Mus musculus: one gene and its partner. The protein of the gene in region 1 interacts with the protein of each later gene in a biochemical or structural test. Links are inferred from orthologs where the notes say so. Each region holds a gene or a part of one and is shown on either strand. Other genes may lie near its edges.

Region 1 (6,900 bases):
TGTTACACACTGTCTTAGGAGATCCAGAACTCATTGAAGAGTTTAAGTTTCTTGGGGAATAAAGTTAGTTTGAGAGAAAAAGAAATCATCACCATCAAGCCAAGCCTCATAGAAGGCACCCTCAGACGGAGATTCATCTGGAGTGTTACCAACTAGAAATCAAGTCCAACGTGTCCGTGCTGAAGAGGGCAGGAGTCCTGGGTTCCCTGGCGCTGGAGGTACAGGCAGCTGTGGTCTGGCCTGAATTCAGGTTCTCCACAAGAATGGTGCAGGCTCTTAAACAGCTGAGCCGCCTCTCCACCTCCAAGAGGTTCTTATTCATTTTAAGGCGCAAATTCTTCAAAGATTGATTAAAAAAAAAAGGGCCTAGAAGGGTTGAACATCAATTTTTAATAATGAAACCTTTCATCCAGTCCTCAAAATTACCATAAAAGGCATGAGAAATTGTCGACTTCTCATCCCCACCACGGTGTGACAAGCCCTTGTTACAACATCCATCTACTGTCTCCAAAAAGCCCAATACAAAACCCACACATTATATCACCTAGTGATCTACCAACAGATGAGAGTTTAACCAGCGTTATACCAGGAAGCTATTACCACGGATACTTCAATCACATAGCTGAAAATATGGAGAAAAGACAGGTAAAAAAAGAAATCATCTTAACTTGTAGTAGTCTTTTTGCTTTTTTAAAATTTCTATAAAATACACTAATATCCCAAAATAAAGAATATTATGACACATTGGTGTCGACTCACACAGATGAAAGCTGATGTCAGCTTTTTTCTAACTAAAGTTCATTTCACCAAACCTTTATATATTACATGAATATCCAAGTAAAGTATTTCTTTAAAAAAAAAATTCAACACAAAGGAACATAATATACAGTGTTTTTATATATATATAAAAAAAAATCAATTAACAGGAATGATTCCACTTCTAGCCACATTACGTATCTCTTTAAGACAATGGGATCTCTTGCCATTCTGTGACTCTTCAGTTCATGTCAATATTTCCCAGCTACTTTTATCTTAAAGTTAAAAAAAAACAAAAAAAAAAAAAAACAAAAGGAAAAGTTGGTTGTAAGACTTCCTTACTCTCTTACCCAGAAGAGAACCGTAGAACAAGGTCATTCACTACCAGGCTGTCTTCCCTCTATCTGCTCTCAGGACTAGCCAGACCCACAGCTGGGGTGGAATTGGAAGAGAGCATCAAAGGATGGATATAAAAAGATGGGCTCAGCCAGACCCTACCACAATTGTAAGGTGTGGGCACAGCCACTCCCAGCAAGCCTTGCCGAACAGTCCCAGGAGCGAGTGGTCTCCCAGAGCTCGCCCTTCACATCCGTCCGCTGGGAGGACACATGTGGATAAGCATTTTAACTACTGGTGTGCTGGCTAACGTGTGCCTTCACCCGAGAGGGAGCAAACATACTTAAGACATCTCGGTCAGTAGTGGTGGTGGTGGTGGGGGCAGGGGCAGGGGCAGGGAAGAGATCGCTGTGTATGTTAAACCTCCTGTTATCGGTCAGTTCTGAGTGAAAATTGCTATGAAATACACACACCATGCACAGTCCACACCACTGTGGGAATCCGGTATCACATGCAAGATGGCGGAGAAATCACGATGGATGAGTGGAAACGTTCACAGTGTTTTCTTACAGCCTTTTGACTTTAACACGAGTGCATCTCTTACCACCACTGTCTCACAAACTTTTACTGTGTCTTGGGGCATGCGGATCACTTGGGGATAGAATGGGAACTACGGTTCAAAGCCACTCACACACAGAGACTACCACTTTCTCTCACTTCCCACGGCGCTGCTGCTTGTGCTAGCAGACAAACGCGTATTTCCAGTCAATGGTTGTGCTTTAGTTTGCGTCTTTCTTTACCCACTTCGTTTCAGGAAAATGAAAAACCCACAAAAAAGAAATCCAGGATTAGGTCTTCAGGTTGATTTCTGATCAAAGCAGACAGATGGGGACCTACTAACTCCTCTACCTGGAGTCTGCCGGCTCCCCTCCCCAGGTCCTTCCCGGTACTGATTCAGCTGTCTGTTTGGAAAACTGGCATTTTTGTCTAAACGGAGCCAAATATAACGGCAGGGAGGAGGGCAGCAAGCAGGGGAGGGGGAGATGCAGTCTATGTCAAAAAGAATCTCTTGCTCTCAACAGACAGGAGAGAACCCAGCTTCTCCTTAACCATCATTTCATAAATTAATATTTTCTAAAAACCATAACCCAAAGAATTTGCTATTACAAGAAAGTTCAAGTTTTAAAAAAGCAAATAAATTAGTTAAGCCTTGTAAACAATTGTCCATTTTAGTTATACATCTTAAAAAAAAAAAGACATTTATCTGTAAAGTCCATTAGACATTACAAGGCACACTTTACACATCAGAACCCAGAGAGACGGAACCCACACAGGTGTGTCCTCCTTCCCTCTGCCCCTGGGGTAACCAGGCCGGGGCTCTGGAGTCAGGTGCCCATCTTCTGCTCGGTTCTTGAAGATCTGGAAGTCCACAGATGTGCTCTTTCTATGAAACTGCTTTGTGCTCTTTAGTCACACGTGGTGTGATGATAAGCTTTCTCCGTGTCCCGTCTTCTCAGATGTTTTCCACAAAGCTCCCTGGGAAAAGGCCAGTCTTCCCATTCCTCTGTAACGTGCCTTTGAACCAGCCGTCCTCTCGTTTCTTATGAACAAACACAATATCTCCTTCCTTGAGTTCAAGTTCGGCCTCACTCTGAGGAGGGTAGGAAACCACCACCCTGTGCCTGTGCGAGAGAAGCAGACTCTTCAGGTCAGCAATAAAAACGGTGCACCGTCACTTCACAGCGTGCCTCGGCACCGATAGAACTCACACAGCCATTCACAAGGCTTTGCGCAACTCAAAATCCAGCAATTCTCTTTAGCCAAGCCTGAGCTGGGTATTCATCTTCATCCACTAACGAGGGCCAAACTGGTGTTTGTGAGTGACCTCCACAGGGAGAGACATTTTTGTCTGCCTTCAGTATTTGTATTTTAGCTATACCTAAGGATATGTGTTGTGTGGATTCTTAATAGGGAAACCATTCCTGTCCTACCCTCTACTCCAGGAAGAGACAAGTAGATTTGATTTCTGAGACCAGGACAAACAGCTGAGCAAGCCAAGACTTCTTGCAGGCAGTGTACTGAGCTGGGCGAGGTGAGGTGTCAGGTCTGCTGCCTGGGGCAGATCTGGAGGACTGTCTTCGGTATCCCTTACTCTGGGTTTGATATTCAGGAGGCAGTGCCTGCCTGCCTTTACATAGGCAAGTCTTGCATTGGGAAGAGGTCCCAAGGTCTACACAGAAATGAGAGAACTGTGGGCTCAATTCTGCCCACCACGGCCAGCAATGATGCTGACACTCCAATCTCCTTGTGTCTTATCTATTCGCTTGCCCTTAGTTCTCAAGGCAGATGTGAGTGGGAAGAAGCGTAGCTAGTACCTAACTGCCCAGCAGCCTTGTGGATTACCATCACTTAACCCCGTGCCCCTATGCCTTGGTCTCTAAGGCAGGGTTATGATTAGCAGCTAAGGAAGTCAGGCAGGGGTGACTTATTTTGGGTCTCCCGACCCAGTCTTTTCTCTACTGGATATTATCTCTCTCTTTCCTCTGCCTTGCTCTTTCCAATCAAAGCGGTGGTTGTTGTTGGTGTTTGGTAGCCATCTTCTAGCTATCCCTGCCTCTGCTAGTCTCATACATGCACAGTTTTCTTCTACAATGCCCCGTGTGATAAAGAAATAGTACAAAAGTGACTGTGACTTCTGAGGCCAGGTGACTGAGGACGGGGACAATCAGTTGGCATGGGTGAGGCCACTGGACACTCCTAATCAGGCACCATGTGAGGGTCTAAAGTGTCTTCCCCAAACTAGTCAACAATAATGTGAAGGAGCTGCGTTAAAACCAGGCCTGCTAGCATCTGTATAGCCTGGTTCTCTCTTGAATCCCCATTCCATAAAAACCCAGAACCCACCACATTATTGAGGACCACAGCAAGTGGGCTCACTTTTCACAAAAGCTAAGTAGCTGTCCAACAATTACTCTGCTCTCTAGGGCATGGGTACCAATCTACCCTCCCAGGTCTGCAGCAAAAGCATAGCGCTGGGTCCGTTTATCCTTTCCAAGAAAGGTTCAGCCAACTCAGACATGAGTTTACAGATAAGGTCGTCAAATGCAGAGCAGGAAGGAGTGGAGAGGCACTGTGGGTGAAGGGGAACTGACACAGTCTTATGGTCACTCAGAGCACCTTAACTTTGAGCCAGCTAACACTGCCTCAGTCTCCTCCCCTGGAGAATGGGACTTCAATGAGTTAGACAATCTATTTTATAAGTAGCACAATGAGGTCAAAAGAGTGGCATTCTTGGTACAGCGACACGTACAGTTCAACCCCAGAATGTGAGCCACTTCAAGCATAGGGCTTCCTTGAGCATGCTGGGGTCTGGTACTTCAGGGAGGGGAATTTTAAGAAGCGGGCTAGTCCCTAACTAACAGATGAACTCAGGCCACAAGCTAAAGAACGTCCTGACACTGGGAGTTCCCACACTTTAGAATGACATAGAGTTTTGGAACCCTTTCACTGACAACTTTAAAAGCAAACTAACAACTTCATCGTGCAGTGATCTAAAAGAAGAACCCAGATGTGATTTCTCAGGTCTGATGCCAACAGGCCAAAAGTCCACATAAAACACAATGATGTAGTTGCCATTAGGGGCGAGTTAACATTTAAGCAAAGCTGTGCAGTTCTGGGGGGAAATATACCACTGACGGAAAGCATATTCTGTGTAGATCTCTCACGAGATGCGTTGCTGACTGGCAGCCTGTAAGCCGCTTTAAGGTAAAATGGAACAAGACAAGTTTAAAAACTTTAAGGGAATTAGATTAATATTTGCATTTTATAAAAACGCACTAAACCAATTTTGTCCGAAAATTCAGCACTGGAGTGGCTGCTGGGCTAAGAACATAATCTTCCCGCCAAGTTACCAGTGGGAACAAATTTTCATTGCTAAGTTATAGACCTCGAGGGGGAGTGGAGTGGTGGAGTGAGAAGCCATGTGCAGAATGGAAACTGTGACATGCTGTGCGTCATGTGAGGACTGCCAGGTGTCGGCACCGAGGAACTCCACTTAGAGGCCTTCCAGCTCGGGCCCTGGCCTTGAGCCTCACGGAGCGGTTTGTACTGAGACTTTGTCACATAGCTCCAAATGCTGGCAGGACAGCCCAGCGAACTCAGGCACGCAAAAGCCCTGCCAAGCAGAGTCTTTACAGACATCCACAAGCAGATGTCATACGCAGCTGCAAAGGCCCTCACACCTGCCGCCCAGCCCTCTGCCTTACTGGCTCATGCTCGCCCTTGTGTGAATCGGGTTCCCGGGCACTTCTGAACGTCTTGAACTTGAGCTACATTCTGCACCTTCTGTGGCACCTGCTGAGCCACCTCCAAAAGCTGCACCCCCATTGGTCTCCTTCGCTGTCATCTGGCTGACGGGCTAACTATGCCCCACCCCCTTCTTGTATTATACTTCCTCCAGTCCCCAATCCATTCCATGCACAACTCAAATATTTATATTAAGTCATGCCACCTGTAGGTACCCATTGTGAAAAACCATTAGCGGGCTCTCAGTGTCTGTAAGGTTAATCCTCACACTGCTACACAAAGCCCTCAATGATCTGGCCATAATCCTGCTTTATAGCTATAGCAGCCATCGTCATCGCAAACACCCCACCCCCACCCCACCCCACCCCAAGAAGCCTGCCCATGTCTCTTCAAACATAGCCCCACTTCTCCTCCTCCTCCACATATTGGCTCCTGCAGCTCCTTGCATGGGGAATCTCTCTCACAATATCGCTGCTCATCCACGCCCTATCAATCTCTCAAGACCTGGCTCAAAATCTCCCCTGGGAAACCTCTAGCCCCATAGCTGGAAGTAATTTTACGCTTGACTGACCCGCAGAGGGCCGTGTGTGTGTTTCTCACGGCACTTAGCACGGTCCATACTGTATTTTTACCATCTGTGTTGCTGTCTCGTTTATTTTCGACTCGTGGATAATGTTGAATTAACTCTCTCCGCCTCATGTGACCAAAGGCAGAACATAAGATGATTCTTATTAAGCACATTGAATGAGTGAGACCTAACCACTCAGTAAGCATTTTTTAAAATGTGTAATGTTCTTAAAAAAAAAAAAAGTCACTGAAATTCTAATACATGCTACAACATGGAGGGATCCGGAAAGCATCATGCTAAGAGAAAAAAGTCAGACGAAGAAGGAAAGGTGCTCTAGGACTCCACTGATATGAAACCACTGTGTAGAGAAAGGAGAACAGACTTCAGGGGCCACAGAAATGGGAAGAAAGCAGCTGTGAATGATGTGGTCTTCCTGTACAGAAGATGCAGAAGACATTCTAGAGACGGACACTGACACACGATCAATGTAAAGGCACCCAGAGCCAGTGGACTGTACCTTTGAATAGGGGTGAGTTTTAACTAGATTTTAGTCTTCCTTCCATTGAAAAGAGATTGCATTCTCACATGATATATCCTGACTCTAGTTCCCCTCCTCTACTGTCCCGGCTCCTTCCCTCGACACCTCTCATTCCCACCCATCCCACTTCTGCCTCTCGTTAGAAAAGGCTTCTAAGGGATCCTGATACAACACAGCAAAATAAAACAGTGAGAGGAAACAAAAACTGTAATATGGGAGTTGGAAAAGACAAATAGACAGAAAAGGCTCCAAGAGAAGGCACACAAATCAGAGACCCACTGGTTTGCACACTCAGGAATCCTATCAAAAAAACACTAAACTGGGGGGCTGGAGAGATGACTCAGTGGTTGACAGCATTGACTGCTCTTCCAGAGGTCCTGAGTTCAATTCCCAGCAA
Region 2 (7,582 bases), on another chromosome or scaffold:
CAGACACTTGGTGACTTCCCACATATGCCTACCCTTGATGGCCTGGCAGTTTCACCAGTGTTCTTAAACTGAACATGAAGATTTGAACTTGTTTATTTGCATGATTTTGTAGGAGTTTCTGGGTCAGTAGAGTAGCAAGCCATCTTCATAGGTCACCTCAGAATGCTTATAGGAAGAACCATTTTATCTCTTAAAAAGAATCTGGGGTCTCTTAGTTTAAGTGTTTTGTCTGTGTGTGTGTGTACCATGTGCACGGTTGGTGCTCTCAAAGATCAGAAGAGAGTTGTAAACTGGTATGTGGGTGTTGGAAATAGAACCAAGGTTATCTTCAAGAGTAATAAGTGGGGGCTGGTGAGATGGCTCAGCGGTTAAGAGCACCGACTGCTCTTCCAGAGGTCCTGAGTTCAAATCCCAGCAACCACATGGTGGCTCACAACCATCCGTAATGAGATCTGATGCCCTCCTTTGGTGTGTCTGAAGACAGCTACAGTGTACTCATATAAATATAATAAATCTTTAAAATAAATAAATAAAACAATAAATTAAAAAAAGAGTAATAAGTGTTCTTAACTTGTGGCAGGATCTCAGTGTAGCCCTGGCTTGGCTGGAGCTCCCAGGGATCCGCCTGCCCCTGCCTCCCGAGTGTTGGGATTAAAGATTTACTGCACTTTATAGTGTGTTTGTGTGCCGTGGTGTACATGTGAGGTCAGAGAACAATTGGAGGGTGTCTGTTCTCCTTCCACCATATTAGTCCCAAGGGATTACATTTAGGTTATTAGGCTTGGCAAACAGGTATGTACACCCGCTGAGGCACCTGTGAGCCCCTCATATGACCTGGGTAAAGTGGCATCTCTGTAATCCCAGCACTTGCCTAGGCTGGCATAGGAGGATTTTTATGAGCTCAAGGCTACATGGCTTTTTCCCAAAACGAAAACATTTCCCTCTGCTTACAGAAAAACAAACAAACGAAAAAAAAAAAAAGGTATGTGGGATCTGAGAGCTGAAGTTCAGTTCTCTGGGGATCAGGGGTTGTTCTTAACTGCTAAGCCCCCCAGCCACCCATTAATGTTGAAATAAAATACTAATAAAAAAGCCTCCAGCAAGCCGGGCGTGGTGGCGCACGCCTTTAATCCCAGCACTCTGGAGGCAGAGGCAGAGGCAGGCGGATTTCTGAGTTCGAGGCCAGCCTGGTCTACAGAGTGAGTTCCAGGACAGCCAGGGCTACATGGAGAAACCCTGTCTCGAGAAACCCTGTCTCGAAAAACCAAAAAAAAAAAAAAAAAAAAAAAAAAGCCTCCAGCTTTTGCAAGGACTTGAGTCTGGCTGGGAGCTCCCCATGGCGCTGACTACAGTGGTCAGAAGCTGTAGCTCCAGTCTGATGCTCTCCTCTCTGGCTCCTCACTTGCATCTACTCCATCCCCAATAATTAAGGGAAACCTTGAAATTTCAAGGTCTTACTATGAATCCCAATCTGGCATGGAATTCTTAGTCCTCTTGTTTCAGGGTCTGCAGAGGTGGGTTACAGCCGTGCAACCTATATACCTTTTTTTCTGTGAGCGATTTTCTGTGGTTTTAAGTCTTACATGGGCTCAAGTTACTCCATATGAGAAATTATAAGTCCCACATTTATTTAGATATATATCATGTGCAAGTGACATTAATATTTTGAAGTCACAGTTTAATAAGAACTGTTTTCGTAAGATAATCCAAGGTTATTTGTGTTTTGAAGATGTGGATTCTTGAGATGTGGATACAGAAGTCAGCCCATAGTTACAGAAGAGGATATTCTAATGTGGGGTTATGTGGCTCAAAGCTTGAGTGCAACATCTTTTTTTTTTTTTGAGACAAGGTCTAGCTGGCCTGCCCCAACATCCAGAATGATGCAGTAACAGACCTGTTGCCATACCCTGCTTTGTGCTTGATCTTAACTAACTTGTTTTGGGTCTCTATAAGTAAGCATCTAGGAGCCTGGCAGTGGCAGGCCAGGCCTTTAATCCTATTGCTCAGAAGGCAGAAGCAGGCAGATCTCTGAGTTCAAGACAGCTTGGTCTACAGGGCGAGTTTCAGGACAGCCAGGGCTATACACAGAAACCCTGTCTCGAAAAACCAAAAAAAAAAAAAAAGTCAGGCTGGTAAGATGGCTCAGCGGTTAAGAACACTAACTGCTCTTCCAGAGGTCCTGAGTTCAAGTCCCAGCAATCACATGGTGGCTCACTACCATCTATAAGGGGATCTGATGCCCTCTTCTGGCCTGCAGATCAGAGCACTCATACATTAAGTTAAAAAAAAAAAAAAAAAAAAAAAGAAAGAAAAAAAGAAAGTCTAGGACAGTGTTTCTCAGTCTACCTAATGTGACTCTTTAATACAGTTCCTCATGTGGTGATCCCCCAAACATAAAATTATTTTCGTTGTCACTTCATAACTAATTTTGCTATTCTTATGAATCATAATGTAAATATCTGAATTTTCCGATGATCTTAGGCAACCCCTGTGAGAGGTTCCCAAGTGAAGAACCGCTGGTCTAGGAACTAGGAAGGCAGGAAAGAGAAGAATAAAACAAGATCAAAGCATATGTAAATAAAGCCCTTTGATTGCCGGGAAGTAATCACTGGGCCTTCGGGGAAAGCCTACTTGTTGGTGTCCTACTGCGCATGTGTAATGCTACCCCCCCCTCCGCCCCCCCAGCTCAGAACGGGGCTCTTAAAAAAAATAAATAAATAAAAAGTTAACGTGACGGGTGCCTAAAGTACGCAGGCGCGCTGCCTTGAGCCTGCCTGCCTCCTAGTTCCTGCGCTTGCGGTCTGATGTTTTCTGAGGCCATTCCCTTGGTCTACTACGTCAGTTCCTGTTTGTGGCTGGAAAAGGCGGTATTTCCGGCCAGCGGGTGGGAGGGGGCTGTGAGTGGGGGCTGGGGGCTGGGGGGAGGGGGCGGGGGGGCCCGCGCTGCGCGAGCCGTTGGGCCTGACTCCGAGAAGGCGTCGCCGCCGCCAGCACTGCCGCCGTTGCTGCCGCCAGTTCATAAATAAGGAGCGGGAACGAGCTCAGCGTGGCGATGGGCGGGGGTAGAGCCCGGCCGGAGAGGCTGGGCGGCCGCCGGTGACAGGTGAGTACGCCAGCGCGTGTCCCCAAGCGCCCTCCCCTCCGCGATGGTCGCGTCCTGGCCCCCCGTGGGGCCTCGCTGGGCCGTACCACCCGTGCCCGCCTGGCGGGGACCACGGACCTGGAGGCTCCCCCCCTCTTCCGGAACGGAGTGGGGGCGCCTGCTGCGGGGCTGGGGGGGACAAACCCAGAGGGACGCGGGGCGGGTGCCGTGGTCCATACCACTGCGGCGGCGGGGGGAGCTCTCTCTGAGTGTGCGGGCTGGGGGCTGCCCTCGGGGACATCGGGGGAGACAGCTCCTTCTCTGTGGTGCCAGCCTGTCCAGCTTTTGAGGCGCTCACCGTGTCAAGTGCCGCTTGGGTGCTTTGGGAGCCGTTCCTATAGTGCACTTAGAGGGATGGGAGCTTCTGGAGAGGGGTCTGGGCCCAGGGTGGCCGTGTTGGGGCAGTCAGGGTAGTACCACCTAGACACGAGAGAGCAGTCTTTGTACTTAGAGGAGAACAGGGTCGGGTGGAGGGCTGTGATGTTTATCATCTTTGAGGCACAGGGTGCTGGGAGGCCCGAGTGAGTGTTAAGGGGCGTACTTTTAGGGGTGTGATACTGAGTGGGCGAGGAGCGCTTTTCTCTTCCTGTAATATGCAGGGGTGGGCGTTTACACTCAGCTCACCCTTTCTTGAACTTCTTTATGACTTTGGGGAAAACGGGATCGTTACTGGGCTGCTTTTTATCATGGGGTTGTCCACTCACCACTCCAGAACCCTCTCAGATTATTTCTCTTTAAGGTGTGTGGGACATCCTTTGGCAAGTTCTTTGCTTCCGGGGGTGGAGATGTGTTTTAGAAGTCACTGAAGTTTTCTGATCTCTAGTCTGGCTCCCTACTAGGAAAGGGAGGGGCTATCGGGCTTGGATAAGGAGAAGTGCCTCTGGACCTGCCTGTCACCTTTTGGGCGGAAGGTGTGTTTTAAGGGACAGCTCTCTAGAGCGAAGTGGGGGGGGGGCATCTTTATTCTCAGAATTTGGGGCCCCTGTTTCTCTCATTTGGAGAACTTTTGGCACCTGGTGACAGGCCTCCCCCTGCTAGAAAACCATAGGTTCAGGTCAGGCTGATTTTTAGCCTGTTTACTATTCCCTCCTCAGAGATGCAGGTGAGAGTTCAGGTACTGCCTGGTGTCGTGGATATGGATGTGAAGGGGCCCACGTTTCTCCAGCCCTGGCCACGTGGCTGCTTGTGCCTCCCTGTTACCAGCTCAATCTAGAGTCCTGTTTACGCTCCTACTAGTTGAGTGATAACAGTTGGCCTCTTGGTGAGGTTGAGTGCTGTTTTCCCAGCTGTTCGCTCTGCAGAGGCCAAGGGTACTTGGAGGGGAGTGTACTTTATCCAGCTTGGTCTGACCTAGGGAGAAAGGCTACGTAATAGTGTTTGGGACTGCTTTAGGTTCCTCACAGACCTAGTTTCTTACTGTGGTCCCTAAGCAGGGAACCCCAGAAGTGTGTGGCCAGTGTCCTTGCTCCTTAGGCTAGCTTGTGATCTTGGCTTGCCCTGTAACCTTTGTCCTAGGTCTAAATTTCCTGGAGGATTGGCTGCAGGCCCTGATTGACCTAGCTGACAAGTCTGGTGATATGGTCAAGGGAACAGACAGTAGCCATTGATCTACAGCGTTGGTGTCCGTGCTTGCCGGCCTCAGTGCGGCGTGGTTCCCAGAGAGAAGGTGCAGGCAGTGGGTGTCCTCTAGGGTTTTCTCCACCAGGGATGGGCTTCTCGACCTCTCCAAGGAGCTTTCAGAAGGTTTGCCTGATAGAGTTAACAGGCGCTATAAAAGTAATGACCGTGAAATTGATAGCTGACCTTCACTCAGAGCATTCAGTGTGCCACACACTGTGGAGGATGCCTTGCGGTCTAGAGTAGCAGACTCTGTTGTCATGCTGTCCTTTTTAGTTGAGGAAACCGAGTCACAGGGCTGCACCATTTCAAGTGATAGTGGGTAGTATGTGCTATTTAGTAGTCCTATCATGCTAGGGATATGATAGGCCTTTTGCACATGGATGGCTTCATGTAAGTTTCAAATATTATAGTTGTGTACCTATCGTTCTGTCTACTTTATAGAGACCTAACAGTGAGGTAGGAATGTTATGCCCAGGTCACAGGTAAGGCAACCAAGGCACTGAGCCATTGTGGCTTCTGTTTGCGACTAACTACTCTGTGCCCAGCTTTGGGCTTGTGGCTTTATATAGCATTTTATTTCTTTTTGTTGAAGCAAAATTAGAAATTGCAGCCTGAAGGAGAAGGTGCTTTTTTCCAGGTCTGAATCAGACCCCTTGGAAGCCAGGCTGGGATTTAGACGCAGAGGTCCCAGGCTGCAGTGCTCTCTGCCCTCTTGAGCCTGGTTCTGGGTGTCTGCATTCTTTGGATGTTCCTGTACTTGAAAGTTTCAGCATTTCAGGTTTTTCGGGAGAAACTGGGGGACAGAACTGAATAAGACCTCTTTTAGCCCTGAGTACATGTGTGCTGGGGACAGAAGACGCTAGCAGGAGAGCCATTCCGCGAGGTGGTGAGAGCAGCTATGGACCCCAGTTAGAGGCAGGGTGAGCATGAGCTCTTCGGGCTGTGTGATTGGAGTGAGAATATCTACATGCAGTAGACTCCGAAGGCGCTCAGCTCCAGCTGCTGTGAAGAGCCAGTGAGTGACTTAACCGATCGATAGAAAGCTTCTACCATGGTGCCAAGCCATGGGAGTCTCTGCGGACACTCAGAACCTGCTGTAGGACGAGGCACCCACCTTATCCATCCCCTGCTTTCGCTTCTGTTAGGTGTCTAGGAATCCAACTCTGTCCAGTCTCCATCTAGACATTCAATGTCCTGGTTCCCAGCTTCTGTAAAGAGCTATGTTGGGCTGACAAGATGGCTCAGGGGGTGAAGACATTTGCTATTATGCAGGCCTTGCAACCTGTGTTCAATCCTCAGAACCCACATAAGGGTAGAAGGTCAGAACCAGCTCCACAGTCGTCCTCTGCATGTCACAGCATGTCCCCAACTATGTACATGTACATACACAATAATACACACAGTTTTCAAAAAGGCTATAGTGCAGTACTAAGCACTGAGTTCAAATCCAGCCTTCCAGGTGCTAGCTGTGTAGCTCTGAGTGGGCACTTCAGCCTTCTTGAAGCCTTATCTGAGTTCAGGGAGGACAATGCCTTCCTTAGGTGGCAACAGGGAATCCTAGATACTGCAGCCTCTTCTATGTCTGGCGCAAGTGATAGACAGGTATGTGCTCAGCGTGGCCTAGCAAATTATAATTCACTGCTGCTAGGATTCTGTGCCCTAGCTAGTTTGTAGTAGTTTGTCAGAGGACATCAGGAGAAAAGCAGGGCTGACGTTAGTCACTTTCCCAAATGTAGAGTCAAGGTGGCACACAGTAAAGTCAGCTAACAAGTGCCTCTCGGTACAAACTGTAGGTCCTTCCCACGTTCCAGAGTTGGTTCATACCTTTGTTTTGTGTGCTTTTTCTAAATCCCTGCCACAGTCATGGAGTGGTGGAAAGGTTGGGAGCAGGCAGGGTGTTGCATCAGGTGAAAATACTAGGGTACTGACAGAGTCCCAATTCTGTCCAACGTTGTACAGCATGTCTTTAATCCCAGCGCTGAAGAGACAGATGCTGGTGGGTCTCTGTGGGTTCCAGGCCAGTCTGATGTACATAGTATGTTCCAGATTAACCAGGACTACATAGTAACACCCTGTTTACAAAACACAAGTCTTTTGTGGAGCTGAAGGAAACCAACAGGAGGGTAAGCAAGGAATAGGTTAGCTGCTAGGTGGTGAATTTGGGTGAGGCCCTGGGGACCATCAGGAGCTTCTTTGCCTAGGAGCAGCAGGGAGACCACCGTGGGTGGGTGGGGGGGGGGGAGAGGATGAGCTTGATGAGGTGTAGGGATGTCCCACAGGGAGAGGCCTGCGAGAGTGGGTGAGTGTTGGTGGCCAGGGGATGGGGCCTGGGAAGGAATGTGGGGTCTGAGAATTTACTCAGTTGGGTGGTAACCTTGGCCTTGGAGGTTTTCAAGCTTCTGCCTAGGGCCAGGCACTGTTTCACAGGCCTCTTAGTTCCCCCTCGAGAGAATAACTGCCCTACAACTGCTCTGGTGGAGACCCACTGGTTGCCTCCCTTTTCTGTGGTTTCACACTGTGTTCCCCAGGGCCATGGCTGGTACATTTAGGCATTGAGGTGGGGACTCAATGGGCTGACTTGTCTATGCATCTCCAGTTAGCCTAGCCAGCTACTGTTGCTAAGTAACAGTATGAATGGCTGTCACACTGACAGGAAGGGTCCTTGCCACAGTCTGCCTACTGCTTCTCCAGTTGGCTCCAAAGTTGGAAGGAACAGGGTCTTGGGCCTTACCTTCTAGTGAGAGTAAGGACCAGTTTGTAGTGTGACAGCATAGCAGGTCAAGGTTGGTGTTATCAGGGCAAGACACATGGAGGTTAGGG

Evidence for each region.
Region 2: the proteins of Sh3rf1 (region 1) and Akt2 form a complex in vitro, tested with the Homo sapiens proteins (2 studies listed by BioGRID and IntAct, with this or other methods). The link is inferred for Mus musculus from reciprocal best matches to the Homo sapiens genes SH3RF1 and AKT2.

Annotation. Positions count from the first base shown.
Region 1 is NC_000074.6:61,389,543-61,396,442, reverse strand, and holds the end of Sh3rf1 (E3 ubiquitin-protein ligase SH3RF1), read right to left. Parts: intron 2,775-6,900; coding exon 2,606-2,774; 3' UTR 371-2,605; downstream 1-370. UniProt on the Homo sapiens protein: Has E3 ubiquitin-protein ligase activity. In the absence of an external substrate, it can catalyze self-ubiquitination. Stimulates ubiquitination of potassium channel KCNJ1, enhancing it's dynamin-dependent and clathrin-independent endocytosis.
Region 2 is NC_000073.6:27,588,777-27,596,358, forward strand, and holds the start of Akt2 (RAC-beta serine/threonine-protein kinase), read left to right. Parts: upstream 1-2,775; 5' UTR 2,776-3,103; intron 3,104-3,369; exon of another isoform or gene 3,370-3,881; intron 3,882-3,981; exon of another isoform or gene 3,982-4,053; intron 4,054-7,582. UniProt on the Homo sapiens protein: Serine/threonine kinase closely related to AKT1 and AKT3. All 3 enzymes, AKT1, AKT2 and AKT3, are collectively known as AKT kinase.